Linked DNA regions of Schizosaccharomyces pombe. The main gene of each other region encodes a partner of the protein of the gene in region 3 in a complex. Each region holds a gene or a part of one and is shown on either strand. Other genes may lie near its edges. The genes, in order: mrpl20, mrpl25, mrpl23 and mrpl1.

Region 1 (9,059 bases), on a different chromosome or scaffold from region 3:
TCTTCTTCGATTGCAGAAGTCATTTGCGTGAAGGTGGAATGCAAATGGGCTATGGCAGGTGTAGAAACTCGAGATCAAGGTGTAGTAATCACCTGAAACAAAAAGCAGCTATAATGTACGTTAAATTTTCGCTCTTAAGAAGAAATATATTTATAAAGCTATTTATTTGGTAGCTAAATAGTCAGACTGGTACAAGCGTTGACACTATTGGAAAAGTTAAGTAAACAATCCTTGATCCATCTCTGAAGAGAATGATTAGTAATGAAGGATTCAGTGCCTTTAAGAAAAAAAAACCCCCCAATTGTCTTTTCAAGCACATTTATATTGTTATGTATGGCATGTAAATATAATGCAGCATGTGTAAAAGAATATTGGACAGTTGAAAGGACCATGCTTATTTTTAAAAAAGGAAAAAGAAAATAAAGCAGATGAATGAAATTGTAATACCAATCTTTTGATTTGTGGGTCTTTTCCCCTTTATTTCAGCTCGAGGTTCTCTTTCTGAAAATCAATAAATATAGCACGAATTGTTTAATTATTTTCTTGTTGCATAGCTTCGGTTAAAATAAATATATAAAACAGCCCTAGTATTTCCCAAATGTGTTTACTAGTCTTTTCATATTTTCACCGGCCTGTTGGTTTTAACTGATCAAAAGTCATCAAGCCACCTGTTTTTCACTGCAAATATCAAATTCATTTCAATACAATAGAAAAAATGATGTGAATTAGTTTGCATAGAAAAAAACCTGAGACTAGAACTGGTAAAAATTTCTGTGCATTCACAATTGTGGGGAACTGAAAAAATAGAGAATCCAAAATGGGGAGAATCCGATATAGACTATGTTAAATCTAATAAATTTATACTCCAACCCATTCACTCTAAACTCAAGCTTTCTTGTAAAAAACATCAATACTGTTTTCTTAAAATTCCATCTCTATTACTCACTAAAAGAGTATATAAAATATTAAAGAAGCAATTGTTCAAAAAGTGGTCGCATGATGTAGTCGGTTATCATGTCGATCTAATAAGTCGAATGTCGCCAGTTCGAACCTGGCTGTGACCATATTTTTGCTTCTCAAAATTAACAATATTGTGAGCTTGCACTGAAATGCTGTATCTTACATACCGTTATTTTTGTAAATAGTGTATCGTTAAAACAATACCTTCTAATAGTGGATAGCGCACTCAACGGTTCTGATGCTAAAAAATGTCACATTTCCTCTATGCAAAAAGGTTGGATGTCTTACCTAAATCTTAGGTGTGTGTTTTTCTTGTGCTAAAATTATGGAAATGTCACTGTTTGTGATGCTGGATTCCGACTGATTCACTCATTTGATGAAAAAAAATGAGGCATTTTTCTTCTACCTCCATCTGCTACTTGGATGTTACTTTGTTGGAAGAAAAAATCAATCGAGGTATTATTGCGCTGTAAAAGAGCTGATTTTAGGGACAGAAATAATCGCTCATTTCGTAGGTTATGGTATATATAAGGAAGGTGTGATAGAGACATTCCTGGACGCTTAACCTTGAGACGATTGTTTGACTGAAAGGCTTTGGTAGAACATTGGGTTGGTTAGTTTAATCGTTTAAATTCAGTTTATTTACTTGTAATTTTTCATATTGGTCGAAAAATTGGTTTTTTTTAGCAAAATATAGAAACAGAATATTTTCTTTGAAATCTGTATAAATTCAATTTGCTCTTCAATTCGTTGAGATTCTGCCCATTGATTGCCGAAATTTCGTTCATTTTATAATTGTGTTTTCTTTCTTTTCTTGTCTCTCATTTTCTTTTTCTTCCTTTTGATATTCATTTCTCCATTGTGTTTCGTAGGGTTAATTTTCATCTGCATATATTCTGTTTTCTTGTTTTTTAAGAACAAAAATTTTTCATCTAAATATATAATTGTCAAAGTTAGTAAGATACTGGTCTTCCCTAATCTTCAAGTTTTCTTTTAACTCTTTCGTCCTTTTTTTCTAAAACTCATTTACTACTCTTCTGGTTTTTTATTTTTCCCTAGAAGTCATGTCTTTCTTCTCCGCTGCAAAGCAAAGTCTGGGTAATTCCCTCATTAAGTTAGGAACATCTATGGCTCAAAATTCCCAAGGCCCTGTAGATGACTCTAGCTTGTCTCAATTGGAGAATTTGCTCCCACCTTTGCAAATTTTGACTGCTAGAGCCGCTATGGCTGCTATGAACATGTCGAATGATACATCCATGTCTGGAATGAACATGACCAACAGTACGACACCCATGTCTGGAATGAACATGACCAATAGTACAACATCCATGTCTGGAATGAACATGTCCAACAGCACAACATCCATGTCTGGCATGAATATGACTAATACCACTACAACCGCAAAGGCTTCTTCTTGTAAATTATCCATGTATTGGAACTGGTATACTATCGATGCTTGCTTTATTACCAAACATTGGCATATCACCAGTAAGCATATGTTTGTCGGTAGTATTTTCGGAATTATCTTCATGATGATGGCATTGGAATTGGTCCGTCGCGGACAAAGAGAGTTCGATCGTTGGTGTGTCCGTAGATTTTCTCCCGCTAGCAATTCCTGCTGTCATTCGGGTGCCCCTGTTCATTCTGGTCCAAGCATGGCCCTTCGAATCTTTCTTCATTTTCTTCGGTCCTGCTTTTATCTAGTCCAGTATATTGTCGCGTATATCGCAATGTTACTCGCAATGTATTATAATGGCTATGTAATTTTATTTCTCTTTTGTGGCACCTTCTTTGGCTATTTCCTGTTTGGTGCGGATACCATCTCTACTAAGGCCTCTTCATCTGTTCAAACGAAAACGATCGTTCAAGTCGCCGACGAAAAACACGAACATGATTCCAGTCAATATTCAGACACAACACCTACAACCGAATAGCTTGATTATCTCTAAATTTGGTTTAGTATTCCCAATTTCATGCACCTCACTCATTTTCAGTGCTGAAGCGTCTGATTAATCATAATCGTCTTCGCTTTAATTTCTTTCGCACAGTCACTGATAGTTTGGAAGAGGATTCTTTGATGAATGTTGAAGCCACATATTACATGTCCATGTTGGAAAGACAAAACAAATTCTGGTAATTTGTCTTAAGTTTTTACAAAGTAATAAAAGTTTCAACAAAAATAAATAGATGCCACAAGGTAACGCTTATCTTTGTTAGTTAAACATTCAAATTAGAGTATATAGCAATTTGAACAGATGTAATTCGTTCCTTTTTTTTTTTAACCATGATTGTTTGTTTTCGACTTTGAACCTGGAGGTTAATAAATATTTATTATTATAAAGACTGACATTAACACGATTCAGTACCTTTATGGTATCTTAAGGTGATCACTTTCTATATATTTTTAAATGAGTTTGTAATGACATGGTGCAACAGAACTACATAAGATATTCATCAATCACATTTTTGACGTTCAGAAACCATTTGTCGATATCTCGGAAGATTAATTCCAACAGCAGATCGTATTAACAAGACATCCACAATACCATCCTGCCGCTTTCTCCCAACAATGTTGAGCCACTCATGCTTTTGAATAGATACATCAGGTAAAACTACTGTAACATCACAAGTCACGCTGCTTGATCCATCAATCAACCGTAGAATGCCATTCTTATATGATTGCACGCATCCTAAAAATCGAAGTTTTTGGCCGTCCTTACAATCGTTAATTTGATTAATGAAGATAAGTTTAGCACTATCCATCAGCTGCTAAATATATTGTAAAAAGGAGAACAAGGAAAGATGAGGGAAGGTGGTATAGTTTGTGTTTGGAAACTGGGTAATCGATTGAAATATGAATTTCGTAAATGAGCGACTTAAGATCGCAGCTTTAATTAAGAAAACGTAGTTTGACTTTTTCAAAAGGAAAAATTTGCATTAATCCTTAAAATGTGCAGAAAGACTACACTCTCGTTTGCAATAGTAAAAGCAAAATCTAATAATCGTATAGTACTATCAGTGAGGCATATTAGATTGATAAATAGACCAACATTTCCATTATTATTATTTATGAATTGGTTTACTTGAGCAACTCCACAAAAAACGCAAGCATGGTTCTTTTGATTAGTTTTTATAAATTAAGTCAGATGGAATATAAAAAGAGAAAAATAAATGCTTTGGCCGGGAATCGAACCCGGGTCGAATCGATGGCAACGATTCATTATACCACTAAACCACCAAAGCTTCTTGAAATATCTTGTAAACTTGTATAATATAAGTAGCTATTAACGATAACGATAATTATTTATTATACCATTATAATATTGATTAAAATCAAGCAGAGAATTGGAAACATGTTCTGATGTAGTTGTTTAAGGCCTTATAAGAAATCAATAGTTCTTGTAATAAATTCCGATTTTAGTTATAGGGCCAATGCGGCTAATATTCACTTGATAAATTGAAGCTGACTGTAAACAAAAGGTTACCCCTTACTTAACCATTTGATATTATAATTTACATTGCAAAAAATTTGGGTCAGTTTGAAAAGGTGTGTACATTTCCTAAAAATCTATGGAAAATTGAAAAAAATAAAATAAATTTAATTTAATATTTAAAATATCATGCTTCCAGTATTCAATATAATCGGTATTTAAATTGAACCATGAACAGATTAGAAATGGTTTAAAAAAAAAACAGCAAAACAAAATTGTATTGAATTTATCCTACAATCAAAATGCCGTTAACAATATTTTTTAGCTTGAATCTTCCGATTTCTCTTAATAAACCGTCAAAGTGCCAAAAACCAGTTTTAATATAACGAATTATATAATATACATTTAAGGTGCCATAAACACACTGCATTATACGTATTGAAACTAAGAGTGTGGATACTGTGCATATAGAGACTGCTAAACTCCAGGAAACCCGCATTTGGAGAGTAATTTCGTGTTTTTACTCGGAAAATTGCAAGCCTTAATACGATTCTTGTAAATTCAAAAGTTAGAACTCTTCCAAGTGATTTTTTGCGTGTTTTTTTGCTGTTTATTTTTTTTTTGCATTGAGCTCTTTTGTCACGTCGTTGCTATAGCTTTTAGGCTTTGAGAATCTTCGTTATAACTAATATTATTTGAAGTGTGGGTTTATCCAAAAGGCCCTTTACAGTTTTTTGTGTTATAACCTTTTCTCAAAAAAATTTAAAGCATCATTTCTAAAGCGACACCAAAATTAAAATAGTTGAAAGAGTAAAAACATGTTGTTTACAATCAAACCTTCATTTTTGAAGCCTGTAGGCTTCATTCAGACTCGGAATTTGAACCGGCTATACCCTAAACAACGTATTCCTAAGCGACCTAAAATTCCTATGGGTTCCAAAATAGCAGAGGTAACTGAAACTACATCTGCTTATTACAATCCACCAGCGTCTTCTCCAGATGTTAGGATTACTCCTCCTGTTTTTCGCTATGATGCACCTCCAATTCATCAGCGTGATACCTCACTTTCCAAAGAGTCAATGTTTCTCCCGCCGGCAGTTAGCCGAAAATCGAAAAGCAAAGGAAAGTTGAGGTTTTCTACTCATCAACTGAGTAGTGAAGATATCAAATCCATCCAAGACTTGAGGACGAAAGATCCGAATGCTTGGACAACTGGAACACTGTCTAAAAAGTTTAACACAACTCGGTTACTAATTTCACGAGTTTGTGAAGCTCCCAAAGAAAGGATTCAAAAAGTTGAAGAAAATTTTGAGGCTGAAAAACTTGCCTGGGGATCAAAGAAGCGTGAAATTCGCCGACAACGTGCATCTCGTCAAGCATTCCGTACATTGGAACGAGTAGCACAGGTTTAAAATAATTTAATAGTTTTTGGGATTCTAAAACTCTGGTTTTCAATAAAGCTCTGATGCACATGCGGAAGCGTTTTTGACTGCATTATTTAATGTTTCAATCACGTTACAAAATACTCGAGTGATTTGAAAGTTCCTTGGAAAATAATATTAGTTTTGAAGCTTTTCAAAAAAAACAGACATCTTCATTCTTCTTTATTTCTTAATTTACAAAGGCTCTCTGGCATTTTACGAATTATCCTTTACATTTCTATCAACATTTACGCACATTGGTCTGCATATCGCGAATTTTTGTCGCAACCTTTAAAATGTTATTATACAGGCACGAACTTGTTTTACATTTTTACCTCTCCCTTCTCATGTACATATTTCCTTTTTGGAACAAATGAGGAAATTTTTCATTTCAGCTTAGTAGGCTCGGAAATCCTCAATCATAGAGTATGTTGCTTTTGTAACACTCAAGCCAGTTTTTTTTTTTTTTTGGTTTTATCTTTTAACTATTACTGAGAATATACAATGGTGTACATAATTAATTGGGTCAGCGAGCAGTAAAAAAACATCTTTATTTCCTCTTGTACAGAGAGCCCTTTCGTTCAAACCTCAAGTGGTGAAAATAAAGATATTTTTTCGGCTTTTAAGCAGTTGCTATTTAAGATTTCCAATCGACATCAACCGTTTATAAACACTCACGAGATACTTACTTTTGCAAGTTTCCTCACCAGCCATCATCCATCCATCTCCTTAGGACAATTTGCATTCTACGGATTTCATTAATACATCCATCTCTAGCTACTATTTACTTATATTAAAGCTTTGTTTCGCCGTTTTCTACTTTTTTGAAGCTTGTGTGACTATACGTGCTCTTCTTTGTTGGCCCAATTTTCCAACGATCGTCTAAAGAAACATGCGACCTAGTTGAGGAATTTTGCTTTAAGACATTGTTTTTACAGACTCTAACAAGCTTAATTTGTATGGTGGACACAGCTTTGTTGTAATACTGCATACTGCGATTCTCAAATCCTACACTCCTCTCTCCTCTTCTCTCCTTGTTACTTAGTACCTCGAGAAGTTTTGGGGTGACATCAGTCAGACACAAGAATTATATGATGGGTGGGTGGGTTAATACGTATATGAATGATCTCATTTACGTTGCCGTATTGTGCTACTAAAAGTGTTATATATAGAGCAGTGGGAAGTAGAAGTGAGCACTCTTATTAACGATAAAGTTGTGAGTTGAACAAAAGCGACTTACTACTTTGAAATATTGTTTTACTTTACAATTGAACATTTACTAGTGTTCAGGAAAAATCTAATTTTTTTTCGTGCGCTCGATTGAATATTATATCAATCCTTTGTGTTGTACGGAGAAAACCGCTTTTATATAACCTTTCGATTTATTAATTTTTTTTTACTCGGTTAATTCACGAAATCCTAATCGAGCATCATGAATAGGCGTGTTACTCTTGGAGCCTTGGCCGCTGCTGTTGGTGTTGGTTATTATATGACTCGCCATAATCGTCAGGCATCTTCCAGATTGGAACAGAAGAATGCAGAAATCGTCAGAGCCGTGGAAAATGAGGGTCAACGATTTGACAAAGCTGTTGGCGAAACCACTGAAAAGGCAAAATCTTATCTCCAAAGTGGGAAGGAGAGGGTTGTCGATGAACTCGACAAACCTCGTGAAAACGTAAAAAATGTGTTGTCAGAGGCGCAAGCCAAGGGTACTGAACAAGCAGAAGCCCTTAAAAAGGGTACCTCAAAATGGTTTTAAATTGGAAATCCCCAATTCTCGCCATTTAGGGTTATGTGGCAATACTTTGAAAAAATACACACAGGGTTTGTTGTGTATTTGAAAACGTAAAGTGCCTAGCATTGGCTCGTTCTATACCTGCTATCCATTAAGTGTTCTTGTTAATTGTTCCAAACGTATTGCCAAACATTCCGGATCACATCTCGGCAAAGTCGGAGAGATTAAACGTTGTTAACGTTATTCTTTTTTATGTTATTATTAGTTTCTTCTCTCATAAACCAACTGAACCCAAATGATTAGCGATGACAAACAAACGACGATTCCATGGGTTGTCAAAAACACCCTCATAGAAGTTTGCTTTTTTTTGTACAGATAAAAGCGAATTTTTAATTGAAATAATGTTTTTCATGAACGCATAAATGAATGATTGAAATTTTTACATGCATGATTTTCCATTATAGACTGTAAAATGATATTTAAAGTAAGCGATGTGGACTAAGAGTAGTGATAATGCATATGAATACATGCATAGTTTGGATATTATAGGTTTTTCCTAGTTTCCATTATTAAAAAAATAAAAGATTGAAAGGAGTGTTTTGCTTTAATCTGCTCTAGTAGACAGAGTCAAAATTGATATATTTAATAATATTCAAGATGAAGAGATAGAACTCATCAAGTTCGCTTAGATATAACCTTAGCTTACGCGAAAGATGAGAATACTGTAATGCATAGTTTTTTGTTAATTTGAGACAACGAGAGGTATGGAAAATGCCCCTCAGGTGAATTCTCTAAATAAGCTAAAAAGTCAAACGCAAAAAAATGCATTATGCCGGTTTATAGAAGATAAACTTTTTTTTGCTGACAAATATTACGATGGAATTGTCGTTTTGACATTTCTTAGCCGTCGTACCTAATGCTTCTGACTGCTAATCAAGCTCTAAAAAAGCGCAGTTCGTTATACTTCTCTATCCCGTTTTCACCTTCATGACAAGTCCTGCGTATGTATGCATTCTACCATCTTCCATTATTCGCACTTGGGCGTACTCAGCTAAGCTGGTTTTGGCGTATTCATAAACGTGTCTATCCTTCAACAGGAAAATAGGTACCTGAAGAAAATAAGATGGGTCTCAAATTACTTCATCCTCCTAAACGTATGTAACGGTTTAGCTAGACATATAAACAAACTTGAGGATTCTTAGTTGGATGCTCGAGCATCGTATAGGTAGATTAAAACCGCAAAATAACTAACTTTATACAGCTTATGCGATGACCAGTGACCCTGAGTCGTATGCTTCGGTATGTGTCATGAAAAAATGGCCTATTATAGCTACGAATGTGATTGACGAGGTTTCTCGAAACATATCAAAGGCATTGGAGGCGGGAATGTCCGATAAAGCTGCTTATGTTACTCAAGGAAAGGAAATAATCAGCCTTCTTAATCAACTCAAATATGATCTTCAACACAATCGCCCTCTGAAGCCGCTTGTCGGTCAAGGGCCTGATATTGAT
Region 2 (7,888 bases), on a different chromosome or scaffold from region 3:
TAAAATAACCGGTATAATGTTTATTTATTTGAGTTGACATATCGCGCAAAGAATCAAGATTTTTAAACGAATTTAAGTTGTCGATAAAAATCGAATTAAGACTAGGTATAAAATTACCGGAATAGTTGGAACATTCAACCAAAACCGATTTGACAGCATTCAAACGATCAAGCTCAGCTTGTTCTAAATCTTTAAAAACCATAAACTGGAAAGGGTTAGCAAATGAAAGAAGAATAATGCTCAATACCAAATATAACTCTAATTCATGACGGCATTGCTCTAAATTGTCATAAGCAAGGTTGTACTTTTGTAAAACAGGATCATCATTAGTAGCTGTTATAGGATCATTTACTTGAAAATATGGATCGACCTCAAGAATACTCAAATGATAACTTTTCAATAGTTGCTGTGATTTTGTAGTAAATTGAGCATCTATCTCCGGATCATTTTCAAAAACTCGACGAATGCCAAGTAACCTTATTAAGCCATGTTGTATCAGCTGGTTTCCAGCTTTAACGACATAAGAATCTTTTTCCAAACCAAATGTTGTCTTGATGGCTTCAAATAGAAGAGAGCAGTTTGTAACAAGTTCGTAGTCACCGAGATGAGAATAAGATTTTCTTTTAACAGTAGACGCCTTCATAAGCTTTAATAATACATTGGCAAATTCCTCAGCGGTATATGGATGATCAACTATGTTTATCAACCCATCAAACTTATTAACGTTAGAAGGATTAATATCCAGCTGAGACAGAGCAGAAGCAAGAGAATCGGATTTATTAGATTTTCGAGAGGTAGGAATTGGCTTTCGGTCGGTCAAATTAGACTTCTTGCTGTTTACATGAGAGAAACGTGAATTGTAGTTGTTTATTTTGACAATTGCGGCTGAAACGATTTCATCTACCCTTCTAGAATATTTCTTTGACCAATTTGCAAAAGGATTTATTACCAATATATTTAATTGCTCCCCAAGCTTCTTGTGCAACGACGCTTCCTATTGTAAATATTAGCGATAATGACCATAAGAGTAACGATTGAAAGTATACCATTAAATAGCTTTCATAAAGCTGGTGTATGGCTGCATCAGAAGGAAGATCATTGCTTTCTTCATTTAAAGGATGGTGCTTATTGAATTTTGAAAACGATTTGAACAGCAAGTCAGAACAAGATGAAGCTGACTTTGCTCTAATATGTAACAACTGTAATACTAAACGTATTGTTAAATCATTAGTTATTACAAGAAGAAGAATTCATGTGCATACGCTTTTCGTTTTGTTCAACACCTTCGTTGATTAAACGTTGGGCACGATTTATTCCCGTAATATAATCCCTTGACCAGAACGAATTTGAAAAGCCGTCCCACATATCTTTTTGATAAAAATGTCTGATGTACAATACACTTAAGTATATCTATGTACTTCTGTTGAGTGCCAGCTAATTAATAGATTAAAGGTAGTTACAAAAGAGTTCTCTTTTAATCTAAAAACGTTAGTTTAAAAAATATTACAGATAAATCAGTAAATTGACATTGAGGATTAGAATTCTCCTACAACTCCAAATAATCCAAGAAGGACTGAAGGAAAAACTTCTTCAAAAAATCACTTACAAAGAAAGCGGTATTAAATATTATTCACAGTGATTAATATGTAATTTTGGTTTTGTAAAGAGTCATGTAGATGTTGGTATTTAAGTGGGTTCGTCGCGACGAGATGTAAACAAACCAAATTACATAGTGCAGTACAAAGCATCGTAAACTGTAATGAATGGCACAAATACTGAAGACAATAGTAAACAAATACTCATACAGACAATGTACACGTACGATTCGTCGGGAGAGACACTGAAAATAGCAATAGCATGGAAGATAATTTTAAAAAAACCGAAAGGAAAAAATATCAAAGACTACATAGAAGCATTGCGGAAAGGAATTGAGGATCAGGAACATTGCGAAAAATACGCGTCAACATTATTGGAACCGCGCCCAAAGACGAAAAAAGATGTTGTTTTGAAAAATAGTAATGTTACAGAGTGTGTGGCTTTAAAAGCCAAACCGTTCTCTAAAAAAATCGAGGATATGGGTAAGTACTTGCACGATGCTTATTAAATCCATCAATACTAGGCCGGTATATCTTCTTATATCTAAAGCATTAGTTATATTAAAGAAAGCCTTTTTGATCTAAAATAGTATGAATTTTCTTTCGTTAACAATCCAATCTAGATATCTTTTTGCTGACCAATGTTCACGAGAATCTTCAGGAAAAGAGGCAAACATCCGGAAGCCTTGCGCATCTGGATATTGAGTACACGTTTAATGGACTTTTTCGATTCTTAAAATGCACTGCTGACATAAAGTTGAAGCAAACAAAAGTATACGAGGGTGCGGATTTTTTGCGCATTAAAACTTTATTCGAAGAAATTTTTATGTTTCTTAAAAGAGATTGTAAGTCGCCGTTGGTTTTAACAAGACTAGTTGAATTGGGAGATTATGTACTGGATCTCATTATAATCACGCAGTCGATTATGCAAAACAATGCCAACAATGGAACTGGAGTGATTTCCAGAGCGAAATTTTTGGAATTTTACGTATTTTTGGAGCAACTGATATTTAACAAGCTCTCATTCGCTTCCGTAGAGCAATTGGAAAAATTACTAGATCAAATTGTTAAACGGATGAAAATATGCTTCACATATTGCAAAAACGATAACCCATCTATCCGGTTGTTATATAGTGAATGTTTTTTTTCGTACGCTGAGATATACTTCCCTTGTCTACACTCCTTCGATGCTCAGCTTTCATCTGCCGCAAGCAAATGTGTCCAAATCTTAAGAGACATAATCACAAATGAAGAATTACAAACTGATAAACAAGAGTTGTCTAAGAGTGCCTACTCTGCTCCATCCATCCTTTTGATTGGCCTCAAAGATATGCTATTTCCCGAAGACATTTCCTAATAGTAATATATTGAGGGCCACTATTTAACACACATTCATTTCTTGCCTTTCCAATTTGACTCCTTTTGTTATCCTAAAATATTCACAACATTTGGTGGAATTTTTCTGGAAATTCAATGTACAAAGAACGTTGTGGTGAAAGTGTTGATCATCATATCCATTCGATGAACTTTGATATTATGTTCCCTTTTAAATCTTGGGCATAAGGGAAAGGTTTTCTGCTTTTAAAAATTGATGGATAAAAGAAACAAAGGAACAAAAAAAGCGAATATATAGTGGCCAATTTGTATTATTTTCAAGTACAGAAGTGCTTTCCAAATTCGTTTACAAGAAACTTTGGAATTTCAATCAACAAGCTATGTTTCTTCTTTTCCAATAAAGCGCATTTAATACAACGCGTTGACAACAAGATTATTGATCAAGTAAAGGAAATTTATCGCACAAGCCTTCATTCATAATCCGCGATTTGATCTATACGCATTGCTATCCTATTCCTTACGAGGGATAAATCGAAGGAAGTGATAATGGATAAAACCACACAAGCTCCAGAGAATTGAAGGTTTTTCAGCTATAGACCTAACTAGAAGAACAGGGATACTTACAGGGCTTATTAATATTCAACATTAAAGAGCGTCTTATCGATTCCTTGTCAACTTGATATCACCAACAGTTCTATGCACTACTAACTTTATGTCACACTGCGTTACATGTCATTATAAATAATTCCTTTAGTATTTCTTATATTCTCCACTAATTGGAGTCATCGAGAGATGACCGGACTTTTCCTACAATAATTTTTACTTTTATTTATGTTTTAAAATACTCAAAATAAGCATGATTGAGCTTTTTTTGCTTACTCTCAACATGTGTCAGTAGGAATCCGTACATGATCTGATATGATAATTTTACTGGCATCAGAAACTCTATAACCACACACAGCTTACTTGAACGGGCCTCATTTGATGGAATCATAGAAGCAATCACAACTAAAAACGATAATGATTGAAAGCGTTTGAATGCTACGTTGGCGGAACACAATCACACATACTGTCAGCCTTCAATAATTAAATAACGCAACCCAACAAAGATGCCTAAGGTAGAGGGACTAATGCGAGAGGAAGCCATCTACGCAGTATGTAAAATATTTTAAGGAGTTTGTATAGTTGCTAATTTAACAACGATATACATAATAACGAAATATGTTAGTGATTTTTATATTTGTATAAAATAATACCCTGGATAATTTTGTATTTATTAACTATAGTACTGCTACACCGTAATATTATATTAATTAGTATATCCATTGGAACTAAATTGAGTAACTAAGAATTAGTCCGACCTAATAAACGCTAATAGTCAATAAATTGGCTTAGAATTGTCTGAGATAATAAACTCTTTTAATATTTCAAACGATGAAAAGTTTCGATTAAGAACTCAAGAATGAACAGTAATGATTGATTTAACGTAATATAGCGCAGTTAAACGTTTGCCGACATCTTAGGTCAATGTATTTTCTAATACTAATAGTGCTTGACTCACTGTCTTTTTGAGCTTCTCTATAGATTAAAGAGGTTTTAACCTTATCATGCCAGTCTTTACCAAGGAAGCTTTGGAACGGCTTCCTATCCAATTAGGAAACTTTTTTAAAAAGTTTCCGCCTGAAAATCCAAATGCATGGACGACAAATCCAAATCGTCAAAATCCGTTTCTCGCAACTCGAAATCCTCAGAATGGCCTTGTAATCAACCCTTACTATTCCAATAGAAGGCAAGCTGAAATATATAAAGAGGCCAGGCTTCAGAATCTGGATAATTTACTCCCCCAACAAATGTCATGGCAGAAAGATTCTACACGCCATATTTTGAAAGGTCTTCTGAATCCTAAAGGAAAAATTAGTGAACGAAAGAGGGATGAGATTTTGGAAAATAGGCGTTTAAAACTTTCGGAATCATTGAAGAAAACTTCTAAATTTAAAAATGAGCGCGTATGTAAACTGTTGTACTTTCATGATTTTCTTATTTCTATCTACTGATTTTGATTGTGAAAAATTTACTATTATTATTTTTTTAATTGTCTTTATTAACACTCTTTTTAGCAAAAAGCTAGCAAAATAGCGAAACCTTCTCCTTTCTAAATTCTTCTTCTGCAAAGTGGGTTTCACGTAATACTGTTAATACCTTTTGATTCCTGTTTGTTTATGACTTCCTTAAATTTTTTTAAAGATTCATTTAAATTTACTGCTATATTACCTCAATTATGTGTTTACTAAAAGTCTTTTATTGTGCAGCATGATAAAAAGACTAATATACTAGTCTATACATTTTTGTAATCTTTACTAATAATATGATTCTACTTTAATAGTTAAATTACATTTAAATATTAGGTTTTGAATCTGCAGACTTAGGATTTTAGAATGTGATTTATTCGTAACTTTTCATTATGAAGTATCTTGTTATCTTTAATTTTTAGGAAGAGCGCATTTAAATATAAAAAAAATATTTAGCACTTTCTCAAAACTCATTACTTGTGAATGAGTAAGTAAGTCATTATATGATTTATGTAACTTTCTAAGCTTATTAGTGCATTTCAAAGCCGACGGAAATTCGTCAAAGTGATTTTAAGATTTTGGGGCATTAAAAAAAAAGATGGACAGTCGAGTAATTTTTTTTTCATCGGAAATTGGGAAAATGCAACTTCAAACAGCATTTTCAACGTCTTCTTCTCCTTCTTCATCTTCTTCACCTTCAAACATTAATTCATTGAAAGACTTAATCAATGGACTAGGAGAATAATCTTGAGCATCTTCCTCGTCAATCCCCTCGAATTCTTGATATCCGAATTTCGTATTTTTGGGTGTTTTGGGCGACTTGGATGTGCTTTTATTAGTATCGTCTTCTTCTTCATCGCTAAGTTCAAGCAAAGGAGATCTCCAAAAATTCACATCAGTAAAGCTTGAGACTTCATCTCGGGTGCTAACCTCGATGGGAGGGAAGAAATGATCGACAAGCTCATTCATGTAAACATAACTACTTCGGTGACCGCTTCGCTGCAACAGTTCAATATGGACTTCGCCAGCAGAATTAATGGTAAAAATCCTAGTTGGTGGAACTCTGACATGGTTATAAGATATTGCGTCTGTAATACGATTGCCAAAGCCGGCGTAAAATGGTGTTCGAGGAACAGGTAAGGCGAAAATATTACAAAGATCACGCAAACAAGCCATTTTAAATACTTCTGGCTTCCTTAAAATTACTTCTCTATGAAGAGCAGCCATAGTGCGATCAGGTGATAAAATAACAGGACCATCGGGTAGAGAGTATCCGTTCTGTTCAATATTCCGGAGATAATGTCGAGTAGAATCGGCTTGGCCTACCGAACGACTAGTTAAATACATAATTTTGTAGCCGTTGTTAGTGATATCGGTATACAATTTGGCAACTCCAGCATGAGTCCAATCCTTGCCGATCAAGGTAAACATATGCCCTAGAGCATCAGATTTGGTAATTGTTCCATCAATGTCCGATATAACGACAGGATCGTTGTGTTTCCAAAAAAAAAGATTAGCAGTGCAAATGGCCTTACCCCCGTTGACTCCAAAGGAAAGCTCATTTTTACCGGGCTTCAAATTTAATGAACGAAGCTGATCAGAGGTTAAACGAAGGGTTTTAGCATATTGAGGATATGACTCGGAAACTGGGCTCAAAGACTGTTCAGATAAAGAGTGTCGACGGCTTAAATCAGAGTCCTCATCCATTAAAGCCGAATCGGACTTTGGAGACGCAGGAGTGCGAGATGGACTTGCAGGAGGACTGTGTCCATAGACCTCCGCAAACTTTTTGGCATCTTCAGAAGCGTGAAACCACAGATTACCTTCTTCATCTTCACGCAGAAGCTTTTCAATCATGGGAAATTCATCCTTGAATGTTTCCCGTGCCAACTCTGCAATGTTTATATTCGCAGCAGAAGATTTATAACCTGTCATGTCAAGCATCACATCACCATTATCCCCAACACGTGTAGGAAGTTCTTTCCCAGAAAGCCTTTTCCCCAATTCCTTTGCCTTTTGTAACAATCGTAAGTCTGCTAGCGTTGTTGCAGGCATCGACGGAGTTCTATCACTTCCAGCCATTTCCAAACAACTCGAATGTCGAAGGTGCTTAAAGCCGGTTGGAGGTGTTTGATCGGCATCGGATTTCGAACGGCGAATTAAATCTCGAGTAAGAGGGAACTCGTAACCGTCCTCCATCAAATAGGTATTCGATTGATCTTTCTCATGATCCTGAGATACTTTATCGAGCTCGAGATCTTGAGGCTCAGTGACATTCTAAAGCAAGACTGTTAGTAATTTTCGTGATTGAGATAAACTAAAAGCCGAAAGTAGTTGTGCAGAATTCTGATACCGTATTCATTAAAATATTGCACATAACTGTTTTCCACCGGACAAGTCAGCCCCAGTTTACTTTTGTACATACAATGGATGGTGTTTGCTTTGGCGAAGTGGTAGGCGACACAATGGGAGATGTTTGAAGTTCTCGTGGAACTGCATTCTCAGTAGCAAATACAAAGAACGCTTCACCTCCATCCCCAAGTTTCATATTAAACCCAGTCAATTGACCATTGACCGAAAATTCAACCTTTTTGTCTGAGGGCAAAAGCAAGCTAAACTTTCCAAAGCGAACATGAAAAGGTGAACATGCTAATGTTTTATCCTCTTGCTCAACCACAATCACGTCAATGGCTCCAGAGAGAGTCGACTATTTACGAACACTGTTAGCATATTTGTTCAATTGTTTAACCCATCATTTCTAATTATTGAGAACTTACTGGATTAATTGCATTCCACGTCTTCGTAACAGAGTCAAACGCTCGTCCTACATATTGCATCGTGCAGCAGCTACGAACAGAGGTAAATGGGATGACTAGCATACCATTATGA
Region 3 (7,900 bases):
ATAAATTCTTTTGTTTTTCTCACCTTCCTTCGTGAATGCTTTATTCTGCTACCCTGCAAATTAGGTAGCGAAACGTCACTTCGTTAACAAACCCCATGAACTTCTGCGACTGAACATGTTTATAGCCATATTGCCTTGTGAGCAAGAGCCGATATTAATATCGGAAGGGTTTGATTTGATTTGATATTTCCCATTTTATTTTTTTTGGAAAAAAATTAATTTACAAGCCAATTGTTGTAAAATAGGACCGGACTTCTTTGTCGAACACTGTTAATTCTTGGCCCAACTAACTGAATCATTTCATTGTTCGTTTGCATTCTATTTTTGGTTTATTAAAATTCAACTTAGTCAATTTTCACGTATAACCTTTATCATTATCTTAAATTGTTCAAAAGCTTTGTGCTCTCACCTTTTTTGCTCACTTAAAAGTTTTATTCAAATAAATAAATAGCGATTATGCTGAAATTATTTCTATCTACCCCAAGGACACTTCCCAATTCAAGGTTCCTTTTGCTTCGACGTTTACAGCCCCTTGGTTTGAGGTATAGAAGTGATGCATCTTCACTTCATCTGTTTACGCCTACCTGGAGAGATCATGCTACTAATACAATAATAAAATTTGTTCCGCAACAAGTAGCTTATGTTGTTGAACGCATGGGCCGCTTTAGTAGGTAAGCCAAGCTCGAAACAATGTGTTTTTAAAAAAAAAATCGAATGAAGAAAAAAACTCACTTTAATTTGATGAGCTAAGTTACTAACCGATCTAGAATATTGACCCCTGGTGTTGCATTTCTTGCTCCAATTATTGATAAAATTGCTTATATTCACTCCTTAAAAGAAAGAGCGCTTGAAATCCCGACTCAATCTGCCATTACATTAGACAATGTTTCTTTAGGCTTAGATGGAGTCTTGTATATTCAAGTGTATGATCCCTATAAGGCAAGTTACGGCGTGGAAGATGCTGATTATGCCATATCTCAACTTGCTCAAACTACAATGAGAAGCGAAATTGGTCGATTAACTTTGGATCATGTCTTACGCGAGCGTCAATCACTGAACATTCATATAACAGATGCTATCAACAAGGCAGCTGAAAGTTGGGGAATACGTTGTTTACGGCATGAAATACGCGATATTCGACCCCCTGAAAGCGTGGTCATGGCGATGCATCAACAAGTTTCCGCAGAGAGACAAAAGCGTGCAGAAATTTTAGAATCTGAAGGAAAAAGACAAGCCGCAATCAATGTTGCTGAGGGTGACAAACAAGCAGAAATTTTAGACTCGGAAGGTCAAAAAATAAAAACTATTAATTCCGCCTTGGCAGAAGCTCAAGCAATTCGTGAAAAGTAAGCTTTATTTTCATATGAATATATTACTCACATTTTTAGGGCTTCTGCTACTGCTTCTGGCATTGCTGTATTAGCTGACAGTATCAAGAAGCAAGAACACGGTTTGGAAGCCGTTAGTTTATACATTGCTCAGCAGTATATTACGAATTTCGGGAAATTGGCCAAAGCTTCCAACAGTATGATTGTTCCTGCATCAACGAGCGATGTATCTGGTATGGTTGCTCAAGCCTTGTCTATTTTTAAACAAGTTTCTAAAACTACCGCTCCTGATAAATCGACTCCGAAAGAATTGCATACTGACGAGAAGTAATAAACATTAAGAGTTAATGAGGAATTCTGAATACACCATAACTAACCATTCAATATCTGCCTTACCGTTATAAAAATAATTATCATGATGTGGAAAATGAACTAAATTGTTTTCACTAATCTATAAATAAAATCAATAGTTGATGAAGATTGAAATAACAAGCTTTGGGCGTGCGTCGTCAAACAAAATCTATCATTAAATGTAGAAGACGTGAATGAATAGTATACAAAACATTAAGAGCCAATAAAACAAGTAAAAAAAACTTACAAATTAGAAATTTGAAGCGTATGTGATTTGTGGAGTTCCCTCCGAGTCTTTTGAAACTAAATTACTATCGAGATCTTCGTTGTTATTGTTCTGATCTTTGTTAGCAAGCAAACGAGGTCCCCAAATCCTAGCAATAACCATCACAATAGCAAGAAGAAACACAGAACCAACCACAACACCCACCAAAATACCTATGAGAGCTTTCACACCTCCATAGGGTGTGTAAGTCTGAGGAACGAGAGACGCAATGCCACTTTGTGCAGCAATAGTTGAAGCAAGCGACGTGTATTGAAATATCGTCGTAACATATGTAGTCGGTTGAATGGTAACGTACTCTGTCACAACAGATACCTGCTGATGAATAGAATTATTGGTGCTGGAAGAAATAATTTCATTTGATGCTGAAACATCTGAAGCTGTAATCACTGACGTGCCTGAACTAGAACTGGTCGAAGTAGAGGAAGGTGATGAGGAGGAGGTCGATGGTTGACTATCATGGCTGGTGGATATAGAAGAAGAACTTGAGCTCGAAGAAGTTGAGGCCCTTCGGTATAAACTAGGAAATACGGTGCTCAATGTACCATAGTTTATACTGACACTGGCAGATGGTGCAAAAGTTCTAGGAGTAGCCCCATCCACCACTAGATAACTTATGGCAGTAAAAATTGAAATCAAAAGAAAAGACCGGATGTTCATTGATTTAAAAGAAGTTATCGAGTTACCCTCACACAAATAAAAAGTTTTAATGATTAACTAGAAAATATTTCTAACAATGCAAAAGGAGTTTTAAAAATGGAAAGCGCAATAAATAGCAAAATGAATCAAGGGTGTAGAAATCAAGCTACACTATGTTTGTTATGCAAAAAACGAGAACGATAGTGATGAATTAGGGTAGATAGTATTTACCAGATGAAAATAAAAGAGAAAAGATCACTCAAGAGATATACCTCTGAAAGAAAAGCCTTAGTCGAAGTTCGTGATATTTTGGTTACACTTGAATCTCTCACCGAACAAGCAAAGACTTACATTAATTCTGAATACTAACCATTTCAAGTCCTTAAACAATACCATATATTAGAGGGTTAACTGAAAGAATAAAAATTAATAAGAAATTTAATTAACCAGTATATGATAGCGGAATTAAAGTAGCGAGCCTTTTACATGGTGTTCAATAAGCCTATTCACCGATTAATTTACCGAGGGTCACCGAGTTCACCGTCATTTGCTAGCCATTTCCTACGTCCACAAATAGGTATGGGGTGCGCGCATACCACTCAACTACCAACTTGAGAAGTTTCCTATTTTTGGTACAACTTGTTAGGAAGCGGTCCACGCGCTTATCTTTTCATATTTTAGGTATGATTTATTACTTTGCATTAAATAAAAGATGAAAGTTCATCCGCTTGCGAATTCCTTGAGCTCGTTGTTGTGTCTGATCTCAAAATACCAATAATGTGCTGAAATGTTTTACATATTTATTAACCTAAATAGAGATAGTTATTCACAATGAGTGTCGAGTGTAGTGGAGAGTTGTTTTTCTATCCTCCTTTTACGACTATGTCGAAGGAGCTCATCTCCGTCCATAATCCCAATCCCGAGCCTGTCATTTTCAAGGTGAAGACTACTGCTCCCAAGCACTACTGTGTTCGTCCCAACTCAGGAAAAATTGAACCAAAATCTACGGTGAACGTACAAGGTTTGTAATTTATTTACTCTGGAGCGAACCACCTATCTATCTGTTCACATTTATTTTTTTGTAGTCTTTTTTATGTCTTTCAAATGTTTTTATATTTAGATAAGATATAAATACATTTTGGACTTTTAAAAGTTGTGATATTATATTTTATTCTTTTAAAGTTTGTTGTTTTTCGCTCTTCTTTTTTTGGAATAAACTACTATCATCTTTTTTTTTTATCTTTACGTGCCTCTAGTGTTTTTCTATTATCTTGGCTAACATATATTCTAGTTTTGCTTCAAGCTATGAAGGAGGAGCCTGCTCCTGACTTTAAATGTCGTGACAAGTTTTTAATTCAAAGTATGGCTATCGGTGATGCTGATACCAGTAATGTCGAAAATTATCACGAGTTTTGGACTGAAATGGAAAAACAAGGCCGTTCCATTTTTGATCGTAAAATCCGCTGTGTTTATTCAACTAAGCAACCTCCTCAATCCGCTGATAAACAGGTTGAGAACACTAGTACTTCTAACCCCCCTGTTTCTGTTGAAGGTTCCGAAAACTTAGCATCTTCTGTCGGCGGCCCTACGGCGGTTGGTGTGTCTTTGGATGAAGCTCAAAATGACTTCAATGGAGCAAAGGATCATTTAAGCAATGGTGTTAATACTGTTGTTCCAGATAGTACCTTCCGCTCTACTTTCGAAAGTGCACAAATTCCCGACGCCAGTGTAGTTCAAACCGTTGTTACTGATGCTGACAATGGTGCTGCTTCTGTCAAAGATACCATTGTGACAGCCGAAAGTGCTTCTTCCAAAGGAGCCGATGTTGCTAGATCGAAGGTACAAGATATTATTGATAATGAAATTCCAAAGCCTTCAGAAAGCCCTCGTCGCTCTGTTTCTTCGACTCCACCAGTCCACCCCCCTCCTCCCGTCCCCCAAAATTTATCAGCTGTCAATGAAGAATTTGATACTAAGAAGAATGATTTCGATTCTAAACTTCCTGAATCTACCCCTGCCGTTGAAAAAGTTTCTGAAAATCTCGGATCTGAAACTCGTGAATCTTTACAAGGGGCAAAACCTGCTGCAGGTGCTCATAGTTCCGACAACGCCTTGGAACAAATCAAGCCCTCTTATTCAGCTGACCCTTCGAGTTCCACTGGTGCTTCTTTAACCGAATCTCCAGGAATTCCTCCCAATATTGTTATCATTCTTTGCCTGATTTTCTTCCTTATTGGCTATCTTTTCTTTTAAAATGTAAAGCGTAGATATGTTTAATAAGAAGTGTAAAATCTTCTCCCTAAGTTAATGGCTCTTGATTTTATTACTTTATATGGCCTTTGCTAAGCAAGGTTTTAGGTTGACGTTTGTTGAATTTGTTTGCTCTTCACAACGATAGGGTACTTTTTAGCGCGTTTATCTGGCTTTGGAGATAATTTCCAAATGTCGTTATTTATGTCGACGTCTCATGTTATCTACTTTTTACTCGCAAGAAAAGTTGTAGTCCTCTTATGGTTACCAGACATTCATTCTTACCAGTTCACAAACGTAAATGTGTCTTTAAATACATTACAGCTTCTTATAGTGAATACAATAACATTAATTTATATAAAATAATTTTTTTTGGAAAGAACAATATTAAAATGTGTTAGCTTTTTAGGGCATACGACATTGTGGAATGTTCAAACATTAATGCAAAAAATCAATGAAATTTAAGTGAGTAGGGATATGGCTTTTGTTCTTTGAACTACCTTTTAAAATTAAAGGAGATTTTAAACACTTATTTCGAGAATAATTCCTTCGCAATTTGCGAACTTACAGGATTATGGTAGGAACGAAATATGTTTGCCTTATAAGGGTGTTCAGCTCCATCGTAAATATAAAGACGTTTCATTCTCCTATCCCAAAGCTTATTTCTTGGAAGCATTCCACCAACTGCTCTTCTCAACAAATCCTTGTGCCCCCGTTTCGCAGCCATTTCTTCCATCGTCCACTCTTTAAGATGACCAGGCTGACCCGAATGTGAATAATATTTATGATTTTCGAGTTTTCGACCAGAAATCCCAATTTCAGAACAGTCAGTGACTACTACGACATCTCCACAGTCTGCTGCAGGGTGATAAATGGGTTTGTGCTTGCCCATAAGAGTAGTTGCAATTTGGGAAGCCAGCCTACCTAGAGGAACATTTTTTGCAGAAACATGATGCCAAACTTTGGCGTAAGCCAATGCTGTCTGATATTGTTAGTAAAAGAAACTGTCAAACTAATTTCATACTTGTCCATTCAACGTTGACATCGCGTTGAGATTTCTATATCATAAAATCCTCAGTTCCTTCTGATTTTTCTCTTAAAGCGACAGTACAATATCAGTGGTTTCTAATAAAAGAGAAGTAGGAAAATTGCTCAAATAATGTTTCCTCAAGCTTGTAGGTGTGGGTAAATATTGGATGCTAAGCAACTGTAGTAAGGTAACTGTTACCTACAAAATTTCTATTTTTCAAAAATGTTGTTTTATTTATTATTTCTTAAATATTGATTTTTCAATTCATAATACGAACCTCCTTTACTAATCATGATAAAGCTAATAGCTATTGCTTCAAAAAATACCATTTGTATATATTAGAAAAAATAAGGCAATGAACGATACAATGATAAAACTAATTTTTGATAAGCCCAAAGAATCACAGTAAATTGCAATAATATACAATTAACGCTTGATTACGAATTTTCCGTCTCAGGACCAGATTCATGCTGAATGTTTTCAATTTGACTCAACAGCTGAACCATTGTTAAGCCTTCCGGACCATACAAATATCGCTTGCTATACAAGTAGCTGCTTATCGACAATGGACGGAATTGTAAATATCTTTGCAATTCATGGAGGAGTATAGAGGACTCTTCATGGCCTATAAATTCCGCTAATTCATCAATGGTTTGTGGATGTTGAATATTCTGAACTCGTAAGAGACCCATCAAAAAGATTTGTATAAAGTTAATTTGATGTCCATCTAAATATTCAAACAAGAGAAGTTCTTTAGCAATAAAGCTTTCCACTTTCTTTAATAAAGATGCGCTAGAAGCTAGTTGGATAGGAGTGGGTATTTGATATTGCCTATGTGATGAAAGCGAGGGATTTTCATAGCTTTTCCATGCCTTTTGATAGATGAAACGTCGTACGCGTAGCAAATCGGCCAATCTGTCAGTGTTTTCGCTGGAGGAAAATGAAGGCTGCCGTAGTAATTGTCGTGAAATCGAATACTGATTTGACCCCAAAGATTGAGTATACCACTTCTTATACAAACTTGACCCATGAAATCCATAAAACACACAATCTACGTGTCTCTTACAGATGGGACATGTCAAGGATTGATCCATCCAGCGACATATGCAAGAATAATCGAACTGGTCATGCCCACATGGAGATAGCTGTGCCCGAAGACCATCTTTTTGTAAACATATAACGCAATCTCGACGAAGGTAGCGAGAATTTGACGAGTTTTTACGTACAAGGAATTGCTTTTTCATTCTTCTTCTAAAATTTAATAACTTGTTATATTGTATTTATGCACTAAATTAATTGATGTGTATGAAACCGCATGAATGGCAGAATGTCAAGTTATCTTGTCATCAAAAAACATTGTGTGCTTATTCTTCTTAATGGAAAATTATTCAAGTCATAATTTGCAAGACTTGTTGAATTTTTTAAGGTGAATTTTCACAATCGTCGTCTTACACTAGATGTAGGCTAAGTTATGAGAACAATTAACAATTCGCAGTTACTAAACTGAATCTCTTCTGTACGCTCTTCGTAACGTTAACTTAGCTTAACGCGGTTAATGCTATATGCATAATACAAACAAAGAAGTACATGTTAATGTTAGCAGAACTACACTAGCTATGATACAGTACGTTGCGTATCACTATATGTCATATGCTAAGATATTACTTAAGATTCGTTTGCTGATAGATGCGGATAAATTGCTTTTCTGCATACATAAATAAATTGCTAAAAACTATTAGAAAGATTGTAAATAGAGCTACCACTGAACCTCGTTCCTCAGCTCAGTTATTAGCTATATCGGTGACCGATACTAATAGACTTCTTATAACAATAAATATACATTGTTAGTTAAATATTGCATACCGCTATATTGTAGGTCGCTAGAGAAACGTACCGCAATTTTTCGTATCGTTAAACAGATACCGAACTGCGTAGTCAACAGTTAAAAAATATAACGAAGTAACCTGTATTGCACTGTACAGAAACTTTTAGGTAAGTAGAGAGGCTAAAGTCCTCGAG
Region 4 (8,328 bases), on a different chromosome or scaffold from region 3:
GGTCAATATCGAGCACCAACGTGTCTGCAGTAGTAAAGTCACTGGAGGTCATTCTTAAATAAGAAGTAGAACATATATATCGAGCATGGCAACTAGCCAAAATATCAGAGTCCACTGTTCCCGGAGGAAGGTGAATAATTTCAAGATTATTGACTTGTAGGAAGTCGCTTGGAAGAAATAAATGTGACGTACTATACCTAGCATTTCGCTCAAACAAAGCATTTGTGCCAAACGAGATATAAAGTGGGTTTAGTCCATTGTGATCCATGGCATATTTCAATTCTTTTGACTCAGGCATAAAGGGAGCAGCGAGAAGAGCATGTGTGATTTGTTTGACACACGCGACATCTTCGGCAGAAGAGCTTAACGCCTGTAGCGCAATCCTCCTCCTAATATTCGATTTGGAAAGCAAAAGGGAGACATTTCCTACACGAATTGTTGCAGGAGAATTGTCATCGACTAATCTTCTCAAAGAATAAAGCTCATTGAGCAGCTTTTTTTGCAAATTGGAGATGATCTGCACATGTGGAGCGGTCGACGACCTGCGTATCGCCAACACAGAGCGCTTCCATGTTTTTATTCCAAATCTTAGCATAATTTCTCTGAGCCTATGAAAAACTAATCACAACAAAGGATCGCATATGAACCACACTAGATTCGAAAGCCAAAAAGGAACGAGATTACCGGATTTTAGATAGTATTAGTTAAAGTTCCAAATACACAATAAAACATTTACTAATAAGTTAATAATTCTTAAAACAAATACTATAGTGAATAATTGTTGTCTGATGGCACCCGAAGGTTGTATAGTAGTTGTGTCTATTGAGTAGTGTCGTAGATGTTATATCAAAATACCTTAACCCAGCAGTATAATATTCTTGGAAAATCATTGGATATTGTTAACCCTTAAATCTGTATATGTTTATTTATTTGTTCAGTCAAACAATCATAAAAACAAAAAAACAAAGAATTTTGCATTTTGTTAATTTAGACGAATTCATTGTTCATAAACAGTGACAAAATCCGAGGTTTATACAAGTATTTGAAGAAAACGGTATTCGACAGAATGAAGCTTTAAGTCTAAAATGGATTAGAAGGAACTGAAATGAGCTACATAAATTGCTCTTAATATTGGAGAACTGCTAACATTTATAACCTTTTTAATGATTACACTAAATCTTCACCTATTGCTTTTCACTTACTTTAATGGTCATTCGATTCAAACTTATTTTATCTAAATCTATTACCTTTTGCCAGTAAAATACTGTATAGTTAGTTAGCAAAGAATATAGGCGAGTAAAGCTCTAAACTATCATACTTCTAAAATCAAAGAAAACCAAAGAAAAAAGCAGATGAAAGAATTTAGTAACATCTGGATTTTGAGTAATAAACTGATTGACCTAACTTATTGACAGGTTGTGCGATATCAGTTGGTTTGCCAAAAACAACAATAATTGAAAATTTATGAATGGATTCACCAGAATATTAGCCTAATTGCTTTTTGATTCATTTAAGGAAATTCAACTTTTAATTTGAAATCAGCGAAAGCCGAAAAAAGGATGGTATGAATTTGAAATATTTTTTAATGCGAGCAGGTAATATTGACTTTAATAATAAAATAAAATAAAATGTCATTATAAATGCGATTTGAGGATTTAGTAGAGATATGGATAAAACAGATATGAACCAAACTGCATGAATATTAGGAAATCAAGTTGTAAATATAAAACAAGCATTTTTAAAAAAAAACAAAAAATATTACTCTAAAAATGTTAAGAGGTCAATTTAAGGTTTGTTTACTCTCATTTGTTATGGTGGTAATAGTTTCAGTCATGCATCATCGAAATGTAAACAAACAGCGATCCTATATATACCAAAAACAACAACCATTCCTTTCCATCACACATCTTTTTTGAGATAAAATGAACAATTCAAAACTCTCTGTCCCCGGACAGTATGAAGATGAAAGCAGTACTATATATGTAGGAAATATAGATTCCCGACTTTCTGATGAAGAAATCATCAAACACTTTTCAAAATATGGTATGAACACACAAGTCAAGGATAAAAACACGAGGAAAAACATTAGAAAACATAAATAAAAGCGATATATTAATCAATTCTTTAGGACAAGTAGAATCCATCTTTCGTCGATTACTTGATAGTTTTTATCCTAAGGAAAAAGCGAAACCTTTTAAACCTCCTAAAAATGGAGTGCAATATGGGTTCGTCAAATTCGTTAATGCTGAAAGCATTGAAGAAGTTCTAAAGGACGCTAAAGGAATGACTCTGGGCCAAAGAAAATTGTAAGTGACTGAAGGGAAAAATTAGAGACAAGCATTACAGAAAAAAAAATCGAAAAATCATTCTCCAAAAAATTACTAACCTAAAAAAAAGGACCATTAAAGCAAGAGTCGTAAATCCTGCGAAACTGACAGACAAAAAATTCAAACCTAACGATACGTCAATCACTGCGAACGTGTTCAATCCTAGCATCCAAAACAATACAGATGAGGAAAACGTTAAGCCAGGACTCAAACAGTCTCAGATTAAGGAATTTATTCCAAATGTCGAAGAAAGAAATTGGGAAACTGTGAGAGGCATAAATTCGCGTAACCCGAAGCCAGAAACAACGCTTACCATACCGTCTCTTGGTTTGGAAGATATTAGCATGCAAGTTGTACCAAATGCCTTCGCTTCTACGTTACCCCTTAGTATCTTGAACCTACCTGCCGAAGTCACACCGATTGACTTATATAACCACTTTAAACAGGCTGGTGTAGTAAAAGGGACGGCGGTCAGCCAGTTTCTTGACCAAAGAGGGTTCCGGTATGGCGAAGTGATTATGGATTCAGTTGAATCATGTCAAAATGTAAGCTCAATATGAAGAGAAAACCCCAATATTTGCATAATCTATTTCATGATACTAACCTCATTATTAAGGCAATAGAAAAATTAAATAACGTTCCATACAAAGGAAGCATTTTAGAGGTCAGTATAAAAAATAAAGCCTCTTCTTCAGTGAAGTCAATTCCCACAACGCCGACTGGTGAAAGCTTATGGCCTTTCCCATCGGAAAACGCTAACAAAACTCAAATAAATATCGAAAATGCTACATGTTCGAAGATGACATGGATTATGGGCTCACCAACTAAGGAGAAAAGCCAATGGGGTAGCGTTTCAACTACCGGTGTTTCAAATCAGCAAAATCATCCAGCCGCTTGGAACCCAGATAATAAACCTCAGTCAATCGTGCATTGGGACTCTTTACGTGAAAGCTCTCCAAGTATCCCTAATTCTCCTATTGACCCTTCAAATCTATACGTTAAAAATTTAGATGATACCGTCATCACATGCAAGAGTCAGCTGGAAGATTTATTCTCACCCTTCGGGTCGATTTTGTCTTCCATGTTAGCATGCTATCCAAATTCAGGAATCTCCAAAGGTTATGGTTTCGTAGCGTTTCGTCAAATAGAGGCTGCCGTTAGAGCCAAAGACACATTGAATGGAATGATGGTTGGGAAAAAAAGGATTTTCGTTTGCTTCGCGGAGCGAAAGTCTGACAGAATTCGTAGATTGCAAGCATTTTTTGCAAACAAACCTACTTCAGAACAAACAGCGCAGCAAGACAACAAAGCTTTGTTCGTCAAACCAGAAAGAAGCTCTACTGTTACCATCCGAAAGCCAATAGAGTCTTCTACAAACAAAATCTCTGAGAATCCCACGACCCTTTCAAGTAAGGTTGAAAATAAGAATGAGCCTAAGACTGGTGAAAACAAAGAACCCAGTCAGACAAATGAATATGTTAACTGTAAGCAAGAAAATAAGGAACTTAGTGGACAGTTATCAGGCAACTTGGATATAAAGAAAGAAGCAGGAAAATTGAGCCATGACGGAGAACAAGGAAACTTGTTAAAACCATTGGTATTCCATGCTAACACAAAACTAAATAACCGAGGGTCTGCTAAGATGGGTTCAACAGCCACCAACTTGAAGAAGATACAAGACATGCTTCACAACAAAAAGCTGAGTAATGCATACTTTGTGCCAAGAGCAAGAGCAACAACCTGTACAACTCTTACGTACGTAACAGTTGAGCCCTCACATTTCCAAGATGAGGACTGTAATGAGTCAACGAACATGCTTTCACTTGTCGGGTACATGGACAGCTATCCAGAAGCTACATCCAATATCCAAAAAATGAATTCCTATCATATTAAAGATTCAAATAAGGAAAATTTTTTATCAACAACAAAGGTTAACAACAATTCACCAACAACTATTCAGTTGACGCAGATTTAACAAGATGCGGTGAAGATATAACTATGAAACAAAATTCATAATGCTATATCCCTCAAAACTCCGATGAACAAACTTTTAACTCCTTAAAATATATACATCGTGAACGGATGGATTTGCTAGTATAACCCTACAGTATCTTACAACTACCACAACGTGGAATTTAAACGAAACCGTTTATTTTTAGTCTTTAATCAAAAACATTATAAGGAAATTTGATTTGAAAGATAATTCTTTATTAATTCGAAAGTTGACAGCTGGATCAGATTTGTTTAGAGATTTATGATTTTAGCAGGTTCATTGACTGACATCCAGTAGCTTGGTGACAGTTTGACGAACCAGATTAAAAACCATGAGTTCATTAATAGCGTTAGGTAAACGGCAAACATTATTGTCACATAATGAATTTTTAAATTTTAAAAATCAAAAGGGTTTCTGCAAAAGGTTTATTTCTCAACTAAACAAGAAATCCAATTTTCCCGCTCTTGCGATGACAGTTCCTGAAGCCACAAAATATCTCAAATCTGTGAGCATTTCTGTTCCATATGTTGGGTCTTATATGCTTTCAATTGCTTTAAAAAGTAATCGACGCGCTCCGTCAGCTCGTGGTCAAATTGCCTTTCCTCATCCATTTCAAGAGCCTCCTAAAATTTGTGTGTTTGCTAAAGGTGCAGCTGCAGATGAAGCTTTAAAATTGGGTGCAACCTATGTTGGTGCAGAAGACTTAGTAAAAAAAATTCAAACAGAGCCCCTTGAATTTTCAAAGTGCTTTGCTCATCCCAACTCGGCAGAATTACTACCACAAGTTGCTAAATTATTAGGATCAAAACGTCTTATGCCTTCAATAAAACGAGGTACTATATCAGATGAATTGAAGCCACTCATTGAATCTGCCCTCACAGCTGTTGACTATCGGCAAAATGATGCAGGCTCGATAAATTTGCCGGTTGGAAAACTAGGGTTCAGCGACAAGGAGCTACAAGAAAACATCGAAGCACTTGTATCAAATGTTCGGTTTACTTTGGCCAAACTGCCTGGAAAAGTTAAAGTTACCGTAAAGCATGTTCATCTTTCCGCCTCACATGCTATTGCAATTCCTCTCCAGTATAAATAATGATTAAAATGTTATTGCATGGGAAATTTAGTCTACAGTCTTGTCATTTGTAATATGTATTACATGATTAATTTTGTACAAATTAGTGAAATGTGTAATGATATTTTATCTAGTAAATTTAGAAGCCTGTTTATATTTATTTATTATCATAAACTACTTTTTAAAAAGTATGAATGAAACGTTAGAATACAACATTATGAAAGTTACTCTGTGCGATGCCATTTCAGAACAGGCGATTCCGGAGAATCAAATCTGTTATCACAAGCTGAGGTATCTACGTTTTCAGCCGTAACCCACTGGTGATTTGGATCAAAAAATAAGGACATAGGGTTTCCCATACTCGCGTTTTCAACATCATTATCTGAGGAAAAAGTGTCCGGATGTAGAGATTGGCAAGTACAAAGAGCCTGGTAACATGAATCAACATCAGTAACATATAATGTTAGTTCTAAAAAATCATCTGTGAATTCATTTTCATCTTCGGTAGAAGGAGCTTCATGCAATGTTCCTGACGACCGTTCAAATTTAAGAATGTGATCTAGCAAGGGTCGAATGGCTTCACCCTCTAATTGAACATATACATATGGCTTATCCTTGCTTTGTTTCGCATGAAGAGTAATGGTTTCATATGGAATTTTCCAGCCAGAATTCTGTTCTTCATCAAAAAGGATAAAGCTCTGTGAAGTTACTAATAAAGTTATCAATTTGCCCAAAGGAAAACTTTCCTCATCACTTCTAATTTTATAGGGGACTGTTTTTTCTTCAAAATAAACGATTTCTTGATTTGGCAACAACTTTTCACCATTTTCAACTTTGCGAATTAGGTCCTTTGGAAGTGAGTCAATTTTGGTAATCATAATTACTTCTTGCTTCCAATAGGTATTTAAGCATAAAAATTATTAAAAAACAGTAATAAGGCCACCTCTACCTGATAATTTATTGAAAGAAAAGGTTTACTGTGCGTTGTATTCTTTTGAAGTACTCAAATACAATATCTTCGCATATTAAGCATTTCGCAAAATCGAAAATATATTTCTACTCTTAACCACACGAATTTTTTATAAATTGAACCATTATGCCAAACAGGATATCGATTTTACTCAAATACTTTTGATATGCAATTTTCGTAAATGACAAGCTAGTTATTCATTGCAATTACAAAACAAACTCATGAATATAAATAGTTTTGTGGAAAAAATAAAGGAAAGGTCTAAGGTCTTTATGAAGTAATCCTCGTTACCCAAAAAATTGGGACTCAAAACTTTTGAAATTGGATTTTTTATTTTATATAGTAAACAGATTTATAAGTGTAGCGAAATAAAGCTAAGAATTTTTTAGCAACCAATTCATTGCTATATAAGGTTATACATTGATTTGGATACATGTAATGAATTAGCATCAGTGGATCGTTTCTCTCATAAAGGTGGGTCTTTCTAAAGTATACGAGATTGACTTTCAAACACCAACTTTCCAAATCAAACTTCGAAAGACTTTTTTAAAGCTAGTGACAAGGTTGGAGCAGAAGATTCTCCAAGCCAGTTTTTAGTTAATTAATAGAATGAAAACAAATCGAAAAGTTCAAAAATCAAAATTAGCAAGGCAAGATTCTGGTCATCAGTATATAATTAAATGATGGCAGTATGTGGATGCAAATCCTCCAAGATAATTTTTTAGTGAACAATTTAATCAATAAATTTTCAAAGTAAGATACCATAACATGCATGCAGGGTTTTCTTCAAATATTTTTTAGGACAAAAGTATACTTTAATTTACGCATTGAATTTAAGAATCACTTGTTGCGTAAACTGGAATCGTGGTTGACACTACTTGGCAGCTGTAAATACAGCAAATCGAGTTTGTCAAGTATAGATTTTGTGGCATTCTCCATTGAGTTAGAACTGTTTTCAGGAGATGCAACTTTCATGATATTTCCATGTTGTTTGTACACTTTAGAGGTTGTAAATAAAGAGGGAGTAGCCATTAAACCTTTTTCATCAAATGACAAAGTATAAAGCCAAACAAGACTTTGAAACCAATTATTCATAGGGACACTCCAAATAAAGTAGCGAAAATTGGGAACTCGAGGATGTACATCATTTAGCACAGAGTTAGCTAATAGTTTAACAGCTTCGTCAGTAGTTGATAATTCTTCATTCATTTTCTTGTATACAGGTAGAGAAAACTGAGATATAATGGCTAGAATAGAATCCAATTCAAGTCTTGAATGCCAAGAATTAAACCACGAGTTGGAAGGTGCAAACAAATTTGAGTCAATTTCTAAATCTTTTCCAAACGGATTGGATGCACATTTTTTAATAAGTTCTGAACTAGAAACATTTTCCGGTATTTTCCCACGCAACTTTCTAGACAGAACCAATGGAGAATCTGAGAATACATCTTGAAGGACTGTCGGGACAGAAATCGAAACATTTCTACTCGAAATATGTGATAAGCCACCGCGTGAACTACTGCTACTAAAAGGGGAGGAAAATTTATCTAATTCATCGAAAGGTGAATCATCTTCAACGGTAGCAACTTTTTTAAAGTCAGTATTTTGGAGTGGTGTTCCATCTAAGGAGGTGTTATCGGATGATTTAGATTCAAAATCACTACTTCCTTCCGAATTGAGGGCCACTAAAGGCTGTGATTTAGTCTGAGCAACGGCAGGAAGTTTCATAGAATTAAGATTCAAAAAAACTTGCTGGAGGCGAATAATAGAATAACTGAGATTAGGGTTTTGAGAAAACTTGTTTTCAACTATACTAGAAATAGCCTGTAACAGGTATTCAAGAAGCAGATGATTGCGCGGATTACGAAAAAGAAACCGAGGAGATGAAAGAGATGAACAGAGTTGCATTAATTTGGCACACGTAACGAAACTTAGGTTTTCAACAAATGGTGCAATATTGCATATG

Evidence for each region.
Region 1: mrpl23 (region 3) and mrpl20 share a complex: the UniProt entries of both Schizosaccharomyces pombe proteins name them as parts of the mitochondrial large ribosomal subunit.
Region 2: mrpl23 (region 3) and mrpl25 share a complex: the UniProt entries of both Schizosaccharomyces pombe proteins name them as parts of the mitochondrial large ribosomal subunit.
Region 4: mrpl23 (region 3) and mrpl1 share a complex: the UniProt entries of both Schizosaccharomyces pombe proteins name them as parts of the mitochondrial large ribosomal subunit.

Annotation. Positions count from the first base shown.
Region 1 is NC_003421.2:816,435-825,493, forward strand, and holds mrpl20 (mitochondrial 54S ribosomal protein mL58), read left to right. Parts: upstream 1-4,860; 5' UTR 4,861-5,209; coding exon 5,210-5,803; 3' UTR 5,804-7,043; downstream 7,044-9,059. Other genes in the region: gir2 (RWD domain-containing protein), read right to left, coding at 1-23; Cu(2+) transporter complex subunit Ctr4, read left to right, coding at 2,025-2,894; telomere cap complex subunit Ten1, read right to left, coding at 3,415-3,723; SPOM_SPCC1393.12 (uncharacterized protein), read left to right, coding at 7,245-7,571; duf89 (cobalt/nickel-dependent phosphatase), read left to right, coding at 8,671-8,701, 8,809-9,059. UniProt on the Schizosaccharomyces pombe protein: Component of the mitochondrial ribosome (mitoribosome), a dedicated translation machinery responsible for the synthesis of mitochondrial genome-encoded proteins, including at least some of the essential transmembrane subunits of the mitochondrial respiratory chain.
Region 2 is NC_003424.3:4,991,094-4,998,981, reverse strand, and holds mrpl25 (mitochondrial 54S ribosomal protein mL59), read left to right. Parts: upstream 1-4,474; 5' UTR 4,475-4,537; coding exon 4,538-4,936; intron 4,937-5,047; coding exon 5,048-5,086; 3' UTR 5,087-5,358; downstream 5,359-7,888. Other genes in the region: rga9 (RhoGAP family GTPase-activator protein), read right to left, coding at 1-205, 248-994, 1,047-1,207, 1,263-1,365; meiotic recombination protein Rec24, read left to right, coding at 1,811-2,078, 2,219-2,952; lipin, phosphatidate phosphatase Ned1, read right to left, coding at 5,648-7,276, 7,425-7,706, 7,777-7,836. UniProt on the Schizosaccharomyces pombe protein: Component of the mitochondrial ribosome (mitoribosome), a dedicated translation machinery responsible for the synthesis of mitochondrial genome-encoded proteins, including at least some of the essential transmembrane subunits of the mitochondrial respiratory chain.
Region 3 is NC_003423.3:4,217,899-4,225,798, reverse strand, and holds mrpl23 (mitochondrial 54S ribosomal protein uL13m), read right to left. Parts: upstream 6,027-7,900; 5' UTR 5,897-6,026; coding exon 5,876-5,896; intron 5,834-5,875; coding exon 5,381-5,833; 3' UTR 5,183-5,380; downstream 1-5,182. Other genes in the region: SPOM_SPBC16G5.07C (prohibitin), read left to right, coding at 457-671, 768-1,346, 1,389-1,659; SPOM_SPBC16G5.06 (uncharacterized protein), read right to left, coding at 1,930-2,622; scs2 (VAP family protein), read left to right, coding at 3,433-3,622, 3,893-4,854; mrz1 (ubiquitin-protein ligase E3), read right to left, coding at 6,319-7,125. UniProt on the Schizosaccharomyces pombe protein: Component of the mitochondrial ribosome (mitoribosome), a dedicated translation machinery responsible for the synthesis of mitochondrial genome-encoded proteins, including at least some of the essential transmembrane subunits of the mitochondrial respiratory chain.
Region 4 is NC_003424.3:1,788,567-1,796,894, reverse strand, and holds mrpl1 (mitochondrial 54S ribosomal protein uL1m), read left to right. Parts: upstream 1-4,443; 5' UTR 4,444-4,651; coding exon 4,652-5,413; 3' UTR 5,414-5,495; downstream 5,496-8,328. Other genes in the region: protein Mmc1, read right to left, coding at 1-595; poly(A)-binding protein Crp79, read left to right, coding at 1,923-2,043, 2,129-2,306, 2,398-2,872, 2,944-4,302; protein saf5, read right to left, coding at 5,617-6,270; ftp105 (Ubp5 interacting protein Ftp10), read right to left, coding at 7,203-8,328. UniProt on the Schizosaccharomyces pombe protein: Component of the mitochondrial ribosome (mitoribosome), a dedicated translation machinery responsible for the synthesis of mitochondrial genome-encoded proteins, including at least some of the essential transmembrane subunits of the mitochondrial respiratory chain.